3 linked regions of the Ovis aries genome follow. The protein of the gene in region 2 interacts with the protein of the main gene of each other region in a biochemical or structural test. Links are inferred from orthologs where the notes say so. Each region holds a gene or a part of one and is shown on either strand. Other genes may lie near its edges.

What was found.
Region 1: the proteins of GNAZ (region 2) and LRRK1 form a complex in vitro, tested with the Homo sapiens proteins (2 studies listed by BioGRID and IntAct, with this or other methods). The link is inferred for Ovis aries from reciprocal best matches to the Homo sapiens genes GNAZ and LRRK1.
Region 3: the proteins of GNAZ (region 2) and RGS20 form a complex in vitro, tested with the Homo sapiens proteins (2 studies listed by BioGRID, with this or other methods). The link is inferred for Ovis aries from reciprocal best matches to the Homo sapiens genes GNAZ and RGS20.

What each region holds. Positions count from the first base shown.
Region 1 is NC_056071.1:4,887,345-4,891,066, forward strand, and holds part of LRRK1 (leucine-rich repeat serine/threonine-protein kinase 1), read right to left. Parts: intron 3,399-3,722; coding exon 3,232-3,398; intron 948-3,231; coding exon 750-947; intron 1-749.
Region 2 is NC_056070.1:71,869,400-71,872,899, forward strand, and holds part of GNAZ (guanine nucleotide-binding protein G(z) subunit alpha), read right to left. Parts: intron 942-3,500; coding exon 597-941; 3' UTR 1-596. UniProt on the Homo sapiens protein: Guanine nucleotide-binding proteins (G proteins) are involved as modulators or transducers in various transmembrane signaling systems.
Region 3 is NC_056062.1:34,890,737-34,895,156, reverse strand, and holds the start of RGS20 (regulator of G-protein signaling 20), read right to left. Parts: upstream 2,806-4,420; 5' UTR 2,732-2,805; coding exon 2,559-2,731; intron 1-2,558. UniProt on the Homo sapiens protein: Inhibits signal transduction by increasing the GTPase activity of G protein alpha subunits thereby driving them into their inactive GDP-bound form.

The sequences.
Region 1 (3,722 bases), on a different chromosome or scaffold from region 2:
AATTTTAATTGCATTTCTTCTTCCTGAGTTAAAAGATAGCTATCTCTTTCCCTCTGTCAGCTCATTGGAATTTAGTTACCCATTTCTTAGGGTAAGTGTTCTTTTTTTTTTTTTTTTCCTCTGGATTCATGATTTATTTCTTATATAAGTATACTTTAACATTTAGAAAAATGGTTAAATTTATTACTAGGAAGGATTTAAAAGTTAGATTTCATGCACTTGGTTTCATTTCTGCCTTTCAACATAGAACATTCTGCTTCAAAGAAAATTTTAGCAGGGGTAAGTGTTCTAAAGTTTTGTTGAAAAATAATGTAGGCTAAAACTGACCACAGGGCCTCGGATGTTTAACCACAGTGGATGGACACGGAGCCCTGTGGGCAGAGAGAGACTTGAGCAGCCACGGGCTTCCTGGGCTCTGCCGCTCAGGGCTCCAGGGGCTGCCTCCTTTGATGGTCTCACTGCCCTCCAAGGGGGGCTATTGCCTCCTTTGATGGATGAGTAAATGAAGCAACTTCCCAGATTATGGCAGAGAACCTGGACTCAGAACACAGTTCTGTCTGACTCCAAACGGCAAGCTCCTCCAGCGGTGCCAACGCCACTGCCCGACACTTAGGCGTGGAGAAGCTCTCCTGTTTCCACCAGGCATGGCCCACGAGACTCAGGCAGCTGTGCCCGGCCCCGGCTGGCTCCCTGGGCCCTGTGCTGCCCGCCGTGGGCCCCTGGGGGAAGACTCCAGGTGCAGCGCATACCTCTAGCGTTCTCGGACAGCACGGTGTTGAGGCTGCCCAGAGGGGCGAGCTCCAGCGCGAAGCAGAGCGGGTGGACGCTGATGCCGATGAGGGACACGATGCAGGGGTGCTGCAGGGCGTGCAGCATGCTGGCCTCCTGCCGGAACTCCGAGAAGCTCCTCATGGCGTCGGTGGCCTGTAGGCGCCTCAGCATGGTATCTGTGGGGGGAGCTCGGCTGTCAGCGCCAGCCGGGTTGGGGCCCCGCCAGGCTCGGAGCCGCCCCTCGGGGACTCCTGGGGCTGGCCGGGGCCAGGACTTGTACCTCTGGGGGCTGCAGTACCGTCACCCAGAATCGGGCACCAAATGGGAGCCCTCCTGAGGCATCCGGGCTAGTATCAAGCCCCCTCCTCGGGCACCATGCTTGTCAGGTGCTACACTCGGTGTCCCGGACCCTTTCGCGGAGGGTCGCACACCCCCGCCCTCGTCACCCACTCTGCTGCCCTCTGCCCGGCCTGCTGTTTGCCGCCTAAGGCTCTCAGCTGCATCTTATTCCAAATCTGCAGCCCTGAGGGTCACCCAGAGCCTGGCAAGGAACCAAGCCCCTACTGCTCAGCTGCAAGGATGCTGGGGGCTTGGTCACTGCTGCTCATCTTACTCCTAGAGGCCGGGGCCGTGAAGGCAGGGCGGACTACCACCCTGGTGTCGGCCAGAAGGAAAACCGCAGGGCAGTCACAGGCCTTGACAGGCCGTCTCAGGCCCAAGAAGGAGCGTCTGGGGCAGCGGTGGGCCGTGCTGCAACGTCCTCCCACTGCCCTCTCAGTGCACCCCACGTGGGAGGCGTTTGCCTGAGTCCCCCGAGGGGCCTTTTCCACCCACTGGTCACCCACCAGGCTGTGGCCAGCCCGGAGGTCACTGAGCCCGCTTGTCCTCCTGGGTTCTGATCTGTCCCTCCCCTGTTCAGATTTTAAAGTCAGGAATCACTGGACATGGGAGTTTCAACAGCAGAAAGAGAATCTTGGCAGTTAAAATGGATTGATTGTGCCAGATGGATGTGTGAGCCAGACAAATTTGTTTTTAAGTGTAAAAGTTGTTTTTCACATTGGGCCTTTAAACCATTAATCATGTATTTTTGACTATGGCTGAAGTCTCTGCCCCAGTTTAATGAACAGCCTGCCTTTCTCTTGACTCCCGATGTTACCTCTGTCGTGTGCCAGCCTCTCGCATGCATGCAGGCTCTGTCTGTTCCCGACAGGCCCAACCGTGCCCAGGAGTACCCCGCCCTAGCATGTGGAGCCTGGTAAGTCAGGACGTTTGCTGGGCAAGCCTCTGCTCTTTGTCTTCCATTGTGGAGTTTTCCTGACTGTTCTTGGGTGTTTGTCATTTCACATGCATTTTCTTTTTCTTTCCATTTTAATTTATTTATTTGGCCCTGCTGCACGGCACACAGGATCTCAGTTCCCCAGCTGGGGATCGAACCCCTGCCCCCTACAGTGGAAACACAAAGTCTTAACCACTGGACCACCAGCAAAGTTCCCACATGTATTTTAGAATTAGTCAGATTTCTCTCTCTTTCTCTCTCTGTCTCTCTCTCACACACACTGCTGGAGTTTAGATGAGAACTAAATTGAATGACATCTATTAATTATTTCTCAATACCTTGTGGCTTAATGGCTGCCACGGAAGGCATTGTCTAATGGGTCATTGTTGCCACATTTGATGTTGAGCTCACATCTAGCAAACTATCAAACTCTTACTGGCTCTGACGCTTAATAGCCTCTTAGATTTCCATTCTCTTCCCACGTCTACAGTTCTGTCTCTTCCTTTCTAATCTGGTTCTTCATACTGTTCCACGATTCTGATTTTTCTACCACGAGCGTAAATTCCTTCTGTGATCATGATGATAACCGTGCTAGGCCAGGGGCCACGAGAAATGCAACACTCAGCGGCTGGAAGGTAGAAGGCCTCCACATGCTCGCCTTTGGTGGGCATTAGGTGGTGGCAGGTGGCTCTGGAGCACCTCTGAGCTGTACATGATGAGTGGACAAGGGCGGGAGGGGCGGGGGTGAGGGAGAAGCTACCCACAACGGCTTCCCGATCCATTCATCTGGATTGGGATTGAACCTTAGCCACTATCCTTCCCTTAGTAACTGCATGGGGAGGTGGGTCCCCAGGGCGAGCGGTCCACTTGAGGTCTGACTGTGTGCCCATCATGTGGGCACTGTGCTGGACATGCAACAGATAGAAACTGTAAGGCTGGCCCATGCTCTTGGGGGCTCATGTCAGACAAGAAAGTCACCTCCGAAAGCAATTTCTAGGCCGTGTTCAGCCTGATGCTCAGTCCTGGCCCACGTCTCACCAGGCAGAAAGCAGGACCACCCCTGGGGCCCACACTGGCATCACCCCCCTCTTCCGCTGCCTGTGTGGCCTTGGGCATCTAAGGTGGTACAGGTTTGGACCAAGGGAAGACATGTCTGAAAAGAAACAACCCAGGGCCCTGTTTACCTGCAGGGGCATTTGCAAAGTTCTTGAATTTCTTGATCTGGAATCGCTTCACAGCCACAGGCTGGCCTTGGTACCTGGCCCGGTAGATGACGGTGCCGCTCCCACCTTGGCCCAGGACAGCGCTCTCATCCTCGCTGTGCTCCAGCTTGCTGTTCTCCAAGAAGAGCCTGCCAGAAACACCGTGTGTGTGCTGGGGGGTCAGAACAGACCTCCCTCCTGCCCCATGTTCCCCCAGAGATGCCCGCCGGGTATCAGAGGCAGGTCCTGGGCTGGGCAGGTGCAAGAATATGCTTGGCTATCAGTCCCCACTGAGCAAAGTCAGGTTCAAAGCCACCTAGTGGGGGGCAGTCAGACAGATCTGGGATAAATGCCAGCTCTGGGTAGGTTACTTAGCCTTAACAAGCCTTGGTCTCCTCTGGAAAGTGGATTCATAACAGCAATGGTCTCAGAGGTATGAATGTTGACTGGTATAGGATGGAGCTTCCAAAGGT
Region 2 (3,500 bases):
AGGAGATTTGCCCCCCACTCCGAAAAACAAAGGATATCAGAGGAAAAAAACCAGGGTTCGGTTTTATAAAACGTCCAACTCGTAGGAGAAAAGCGGGAACCCAGCGGGCCGCGCCACGTGGGTCACCGTGCGGCTTGCTGCGTGTCCCCCAAGCGCGTCTGAAAGGGCGGTGAGTGGCTGGAGGGCCAGTCAGTGCTGTGGCCGGCCTGGTGCCCGGTGCCCGCGTGTGCCGGTGGGGGTGGCATGGCTCCGGCCCTGGGTCTCCTCCCGGGGAGCCGGCCGCCCGGCCCTGTGGTCCCCCCGCGCGGAGCGGGGCCGCGTCGGGAAGGCAGAGTGACTTGGCAGGAGGGTCTGGGGACTGGGGGGCGGACTTGGCGACAGCTCCTCAAGCCTTCACGGACCTCGGCCGGGCGGGGAGCCTGCCCGTCTGCGGGGAGTGTGTGTGTGCGCGTGTGTGTGTGCACGCCCAAGTGTGTCTACCTACCTAGCAACCTATCCGTATACAGTCGTGTTTGCAGAGCCTCGGGGGCTGAGGGGGCGGGCTGGGGACGCGTTCCGCCCCCGCCTTCCGCCCCGGGCTGGGCCCCGCCGGCCCCTCAGCAGAGGCCGATGTACTTGAGGTTGTTCTGGATGATGACGTCGGTCACGGCGTCGAACACGAACTGGATGTTGCTGGTGTCCGTGGCGCAGGTGAAGTGTGAGTAGATCTCCTTTGTCTCCTTGTTGCGGTTCAGGTCCTCGAACTGCCGCTGGATGTAGACGGCGGCCTCCTCGTAGGTGTTCTGGCCGCTGTACTCGGGGAAGCACACGGTCAGCGGGGTGCGGCGGATCTTCTGCGCCAGCAGGTCCTTCTTGTTCAGGAAGAGGATGAGGGACGTGCTGACAAACCAGTTGTTGTTGCAGATGGAGTCGAAGAGGCGCAGGCTCTCGGCCATCCGGCTCTGGGGGGAGGGGCGGGGGCGGTCAGCACAGCCGGGCCCCCCCAGGGGCCGCGGACCCCACGCACCTTCAGGGCTGCCGGCAGGGGAACCCCCCCACCCCCGCCACAGGCCAGCCCCTGCCTCCCACGGAAGACCGTCCATGCCACAGCCCCCTGCAGCGAGCATGTGGTCAGCCCTGCCTGCCGAGGGTGGGCCGGTAGGGAGCCTCCATCCCGCCAGGCGTCAGGCCTCACAGAGTCTCAACGTGCAGGAGGCCTCTGTTCCTAAAAGGTGCCAGGGCGGAGCTGGGCCAGCCCAGCCCCTGGTGGCTGAGTGCTCACCTGGTGCCCCACACACAGGAGCCCTCCGCCGCCCCCGAGGAGGTGAGGACGGCCCCCCGGAGCCCCCGTGACTGCAGTGTGGCCCAGGGGGCCCCTTCCACCCCCCCAAGAGAACCAAGGATATGCGTGCAGCCTGCGGGCTCTGGAGGAGCCCAGGGCCTTCACCTGCTCCCCCCTGCCCCCCACAACTGATCTCCTTGCTCCTAAAGGGACACCTGCGGGTGGCGAGCTGCCCTGTGTTTTAAGATGCACAAGGTGAGTGTCCCAAGGGCAGGGCCAGTCTAGAGCTGAGCTGTTGGGTGAAGGACTGTTCTGAGCATGCGCAATGAACAGGGATGCCCTGCTGACCGCCCTCGACCTTATCATCCCCATTCTGCGGATGAAGAAACCGAGGCCGGGAGGGGCCAGAAATGTTCTCCAAGGCCCCCGGGCTCGCTGACCCTCCGGGGCAGTGTGCAGAGCTGCTGGCCCCAGGGTGGGGGTGCCCGGGGCCGCCCTCATCTCCCAGAGGCCTGGCCCTCTCGGACGTACAGGGTCCGATGGTATCAGGGCTGACAAGGCACCCCTCCCCGCCACCCCCTCACCACGGAGACATAGACTCCAGGCCTTGCGCTCCACCTGGGAGGCTGGTCTCCCAAACCCTTCCTGTGCTTTTGTTAGAAAGAGCCTGGTCTCAGGTCTTGGGGAGGGTGTGTGTTGGGGGGGTGATCGTGTGTGTGTGTTGGGGGTGATCGTGTGTTGGGGGGTGATCGTGTGTGTTGGGGGGTGATTGTGTGTTGGGGGTGATCGTGTGTTGGGGGGTGATCGTGTGTGTTGAGGGGTGATCGTGTGTTGGGGGTGACCGTGTGTGTGTTGGGGGTGATTGTGTGTGTTGGGGGGGTGATCCTTCCCCAGACAGAAGCAGGATGCCAGCCCCCAGCATGTCTGAGATCAGGATGGAGTCGCCCTCCCCGTAGCTGGTGGTCCAGGAACACCGCCTGCCACTGGGTGGCAACGAACGCTAATGGGTTCCCGGAAGCCGCGTGGAAAGGACCAGTGGCGGAGCTGTCTGTCATTTCACGGGAATGATGTCTTAATCAGGGTGCTCCCGACCCCAGATCTCACACGTACAATAAACAACAGATGCGGCCAGGGGCACGTATTCACCAATCACCGAGCACACACTTGCCGAGCACGTCTCTGGTTGCGGGCGGGTGCCGGAGCCCAGAGACCGGAGGCCGAGCGGCCAGGGGGCCCTGCGTGTGGCGGGGCTCCAGGGTGGCTGGGCCAGCGCGGGGTGGGGGCAACAGCTGTTGGGATGTCCAGGCATCTGGGCCCTGCTGGGTCACCGGGGTGGGGGGAGACAGGCGGCTCCTGCGTCCAGCCCGCCTGCCGAGGGGTCACTTGGGGCTCTGCTGGTCCGCCCTGCAGTGGTGGGGGGTGGGAACCCGTTGACAGGAGTGCGGTCTGACCAGCCCTGGGCAGGAGGGAACGGGGGCCCGCCCACCCCCACAGGGAGGGTACCTCCCTGGCCAGCTCGCGGGGTCTCTGGCCTCTGGGGGGGAGGCGGAGTGGACATGGAGGGCCAGGGCGTGTGGGCCACTGGCCACCTGTCTGTGGGGGCCCCCAGCACCTCCTCCCACCCCGACAGCCCCTCCAGGGGCCCCGGAAAGCCCGGCCCGTCAGCATCCCCACACCCTCTGCCACTCAAGCTGGCTCCCCTCACACCTCCCCCGCCTCCCTGGGCAGCCAGCATCCTGCTCTGCCAGCCTCCAGCTGTGTGTCAGGCCCGCTGCTCCCCCGGCAAAGGGGGCTCTGTCGGCCGCCCTCCTCCAGAGGTTGGAGGCAGAACGGGACCCCCATGGGAAGCTGAGAGGCCCCGTGCTGGGCACCAGGGCCCGCAGCAGCCATCATGTGCTGACTTGGAGACACAAGGCCAGATGTCCTGGGGCGGGGGGGGGGGGGCACCTGGTGGCCAGGAGGCGGCCCGGCGCTCGCTCGGCTCCTTGGAGCCCAGCATGAGGTCCTGGCCCAGGAGGGCCCCGGGTTGCCTGCTGCAGGACCAGGCTGGGGTGTTTGTTCTCAGGAGCCGTGAACCCAGCTTTTCAGGCGGGGAGGCTGGGCTGCAGGCGTGAATGAGCTCCATTCACCACAGTGCCAGGCACCGAGGGCGCCGAGGGCGGGGGCTGCCAGCGGGGACGCCTGGCGGCACCTGGCTCAGTGGGCTGAACGGGGAGGGTCCATCCAGGGCTGGATGTCG
Region 3 (4,420 bases), on a different chromosome or scaffold from region 2:
CATTGTCTTGGTAGGTACCTTTGGGGGCCTTGGAGTTTCTCTCTCTCCTTTCAGTGTGTAATGTCTCACAGCAAGGGCTTTGATGGGCTTCTCAAGGGGTCATACACCTGGACCAGGAGAGCACCTAAAAGTCTGCACTCTCAGAGGGACAGCAATTAAAAGGACGTGAAAAATAATTTTATGTGGAAAATTTTCTGGTCTAAGCTCTGATCACTTTTATTACTGGGAAAGAATGCATACATGTGTATGCATCTATCTGTACTGACAGATGGATGGGTAGATAACTGCTCACCAGGGTGGCTGTAAAGTTTCCTCTCTCTCACTTTTATCACTAAAAAGAGCACCTGGTCCAGGGAGCACCCCCTCTCCCACTCGGTCTCTGTGCTCTGAATGGAAGGAAGCAGAAATCCTGGTGGAGAAAAAATAATCCCAATGAAGTCAAGTTCATAAGTGTGTGTCTGTCTGTGTGCCTGTGTAGGTGGAGAGATGTTAATTTATTTTGTAGTAAATTAGCAGTTTTGTTGGGTTCTTTGGGCAGAATGCACAGATAAATCACTACTGAGGAGGCTGGATTCCAGCCTGGGAAATTATAGCCTGCTTCTAAAGCACAGCCAGAATCTATTGACTTAGTAACGAAGTCAGTGTCAGAAAAAACATGGGTTTGAATCACCACTGAGCTGACTGCACACATGTAACAGTGTTTTTTACAAACATGCTTTCTCATCTCTAAAAAAGGTTTGACCACCTCAGCACTTCTGACCTAACGAAATTGGTTAAGAATCCAAATAAAAAAGAATAGCAAGAAGAACCACAATAGACAACGCATTTATGCAACACAAATGAATTGTTATTTTCAGTCTAACCTGCTTTTGGAAGGATTTTTTTTACACATTTAATTCTGAAATTATTATAGATTCACTGGAAGTTTCACAAAAGAATGTACACACAGTGGTCCCACACACTCTTCACACAGTTCCACCCAATGGAAACTGCATAAATTGTACAACATCAAAGCCAGGAGACACACTGGTATAATTCTAAGAGCTCATTCAGATTTCATAAGTTTGTATGCACCCGTGTGTGTATGTGTGTGTGTGGTGGAGGGGTTGCCATTTTCTTCTCCAGGGGATCTTCCTGACCCAGGAATGGAACCCACATCTTCTGCGCTGGCAGGTGAATTCTTTACCACTAAGTCACCTGGGAAGCCCGACAGGTGAGTATAGTTCTATGCAATTTTAACACATGAGAAGGTTTGTGTAACCACTGAAATCAAGTGTAGCTTCCTATTGAACCACTGAAATCAAGTACCTTCCTATTGAAAAAGCTTCCCAATGACTTAACAAACAAACAAACAACTTCTCCTTGTGCCAGTTGGTTAAAATAAGATTGGGGAGGAACTTCCTTGGTTGTCCAATGGTTAAAACTCCATGCTACCAAGGTTCCATTCCTGGTCTGGGAACTTAGACCCCATATGCTGCATGGTGCAGTCAAAAGATAAAACAAAAAAACTATGGGGAAAGGACAGATCTAGATAATTAGAATCTGCAAATACGTGATTATTATGAGGATATGAGCGAAGGCACAGGCACAGTTTCTAGTGCTGCAGAATCTGGACAGGTCTGCGGTTGTAGAATTTATCAGCATTTACTTCTGAGCTCTGATCATTGGTCACAGGCATTAACACATGTCCATCCCCCTCCATACTAAATAGCCTTTTAAGAGGTGTTTCTATTAATAGTTAAGAGGATCGACAGACTTAAACTGTACTTTCTGCAAAGATACACACAACGCTGAATAGGAAAATGGTTACTCTTCGGGGAAATCACATTGTCTACTGATAGAAATTCATGCTTAAGAAATTCATCTAGGCAACTATGACTTTAGGAAAAACACCCTTAGTTCCTAAATGGTCTTTCATGCCTGTATTAGTTTTACCAATTTTTTTTTCCCTCAAGCAATTTTGGTGGAAAGCAATCTATACTTTTTCATTGGTGGTGTTTTAGTCACTCAGTTGTGTTCAACTCTTGCAACCCCACGGACTATAGCCTGCCAGGCTCCTCTGTCGATGGGATTTTCCAGGCAAGAATACTGGAGTGGGTTGCGGGTTCTTTCTCCAGGGGATCTCCCCAACCCAGGGACTGAACCCGGATATCTTATATCTCCTGCATTGCAGGTGGATCCTTTACTGACTGAGCCACAAGGGAAGCCCATTTTTTTTCATTACTATATGGGATATAACTTTTATGTCAGAATATCTAAGCATTGATAGTAGCCATAGAAATCTATGGCTAGGTTTTCTGCTTTTTAAGACATTACTTCCTGAAACAAACAAAATGTAGTCATTTGCTGTTGTAAAGGGAAGCTGTTTATGTTGGAGAAAACTGGAAGAATCAGGTTATTATCAAAGTCCTAGTTTTTCTCTTGGGTTTAGTTTGGAAGCCTTTTTGATACATCTTCAATAAGGTAAAGTGAGCGCTGACACTAAAGCTTTCCTATGGTTTTGTATTCTTTCTGGATAAACCCTTTCCTTGCCAAGAACGGTCACGGACTGGGGAGATGGTCTTACCTTGACATTGTGCGTGGCTGTGGCACATCCTTCATTTTCCACGGTTTGGTGAACATTCACATTATATGGCTCAGCCCACGGCAGAGGCAGAAATCGTATCCTCCTCGATGGTCTGGAGAAATGTTTCTGGTGGCCCTGTTGGTTGTCTTGGGAAAGCCTGGGCATGTTTTTACAATAAAGCCTCAATCGAATCCTGTAGCTTGATTTTAACGGTACCAGCCCAGGGTCCACTCTATTTCTCTTCCTTTGGCTGGTGCTGGGCCATCGCTTCGTCTGCTGGGGGCCTCCCTGTAAAGTCGCATCCCTCGAAGCAAGAGGATTATCTGTGTTGTGGGTCAGCAGTTTATCCACAGTCCGTGGGCTCTATTCCAGGATGAGAGTCTCGGTATGTTCTGACTGCCCTCTACAGGTTGCAAGTGAAGTGAAAGTGAAGTTGCTCAGTTGTGTCAGACTCTTTGTGACCCCATGGACTGTAGCCTATCAGGCTCCTCAGCTCTACAGGTAGCAATGTACTCCTACTTCAAATTTAATGCTAAATCAAAACTGAAAGAAATGATTCAAGTGATATATTGCTTAGTATATCGTGATAAAGGAAATAAATCATGTGGTAATATTCTGCATTTGTAGTGTGTGATATGTGAAAAATTTGGACTATACTCTCGAGAGGCAGAGGAGCCATTTTATCTCAGTCTCGTAAAAGGTCCTTCTAGCAGCAGTCAGCTTTGTGGCTGGAAATGCTTGCTAAACTCATAACCACACTTCACTTCAAAGATTATTACTTTTTATTTATGTCTTGTAGAATTAATTGAGGACTTCCTTGGTGGCTCAGATGGTAAAGAATCCACCTGCAGTGCAGGAGACCTGGGTTTGATTTCTAGGTTGGGAAGATCCCCTGGAGGTGGTCATGGAAAACCACTCCACTGTTCTTTCTGGAGAATCCCCATGGACAGAGGAACCTAGTGGGCCACTGTCCATGGGGTCACAAAGAGTTGGACACGACTGAGTGACTAAGCACAGCACAGCACAGAATTAATTGAAGTAATTTCCTTGTGCGATAGTCATCTAACCATGAAGTCAAAACTTGGCTTCTACATCATACTTCCTTTTTGTAAAGTGCTTTATAAATATCAGATTATTGGACTTTCCCTGGTGGTCCAGTGGTTAAGTCTCTGCGCTTCCACTGCAGGGGGCCTGGGTTTGATCCTTGGTCAAAGGTATCTAAGGCCCAGGTGGCTTCTGCTGGGTCTGGAGGAGTACAGAGGTAAGGACCCCAGGTATGCATTGCTGGGGACTATGAACTGAAAGAACTTCCTTTCATAACATAGTCCCAGGCCCCTAAAATGGATATATAAAACTAACATAAGTTGGACCACACATCATGTTAAAAAATTAACTTGAAATCAATCATAGACCCAAGTTTAAGAGTTAAGATTATAAAACTTTTAAAAGGAAACTTAGGAGAAAATATTTGTGATCTCAGATGAGGCAAAGCCTTCTTAGACATGATACCAAAAAGCACAAGTGACAAAAAAAAACAAAACAAAACAGGCAAACTGGATTTCATCAAAATGAAAACCTTTTGTTTTTCAAAGGACATCATCAAAAGAGTGAAAAGACACCCACAAAATAGGGTAAAATATGGCAAATCATAAATACATAATAAGGGACTTATATCCAGAATATATAAAGAGCTCTTAAAAAAAAACTAGCAATGGGTGAATTATGTAAACAGATGTTTCTCAGAAGAAGACAGGCAAATGGCCAAAAAGCATATGAAAAGATGCTCAGCATCTTTGACTTCCAAGTCAAAATCACCAAGGAGATACCAGTAGGTAGGCTTTAATCAAAAAGACA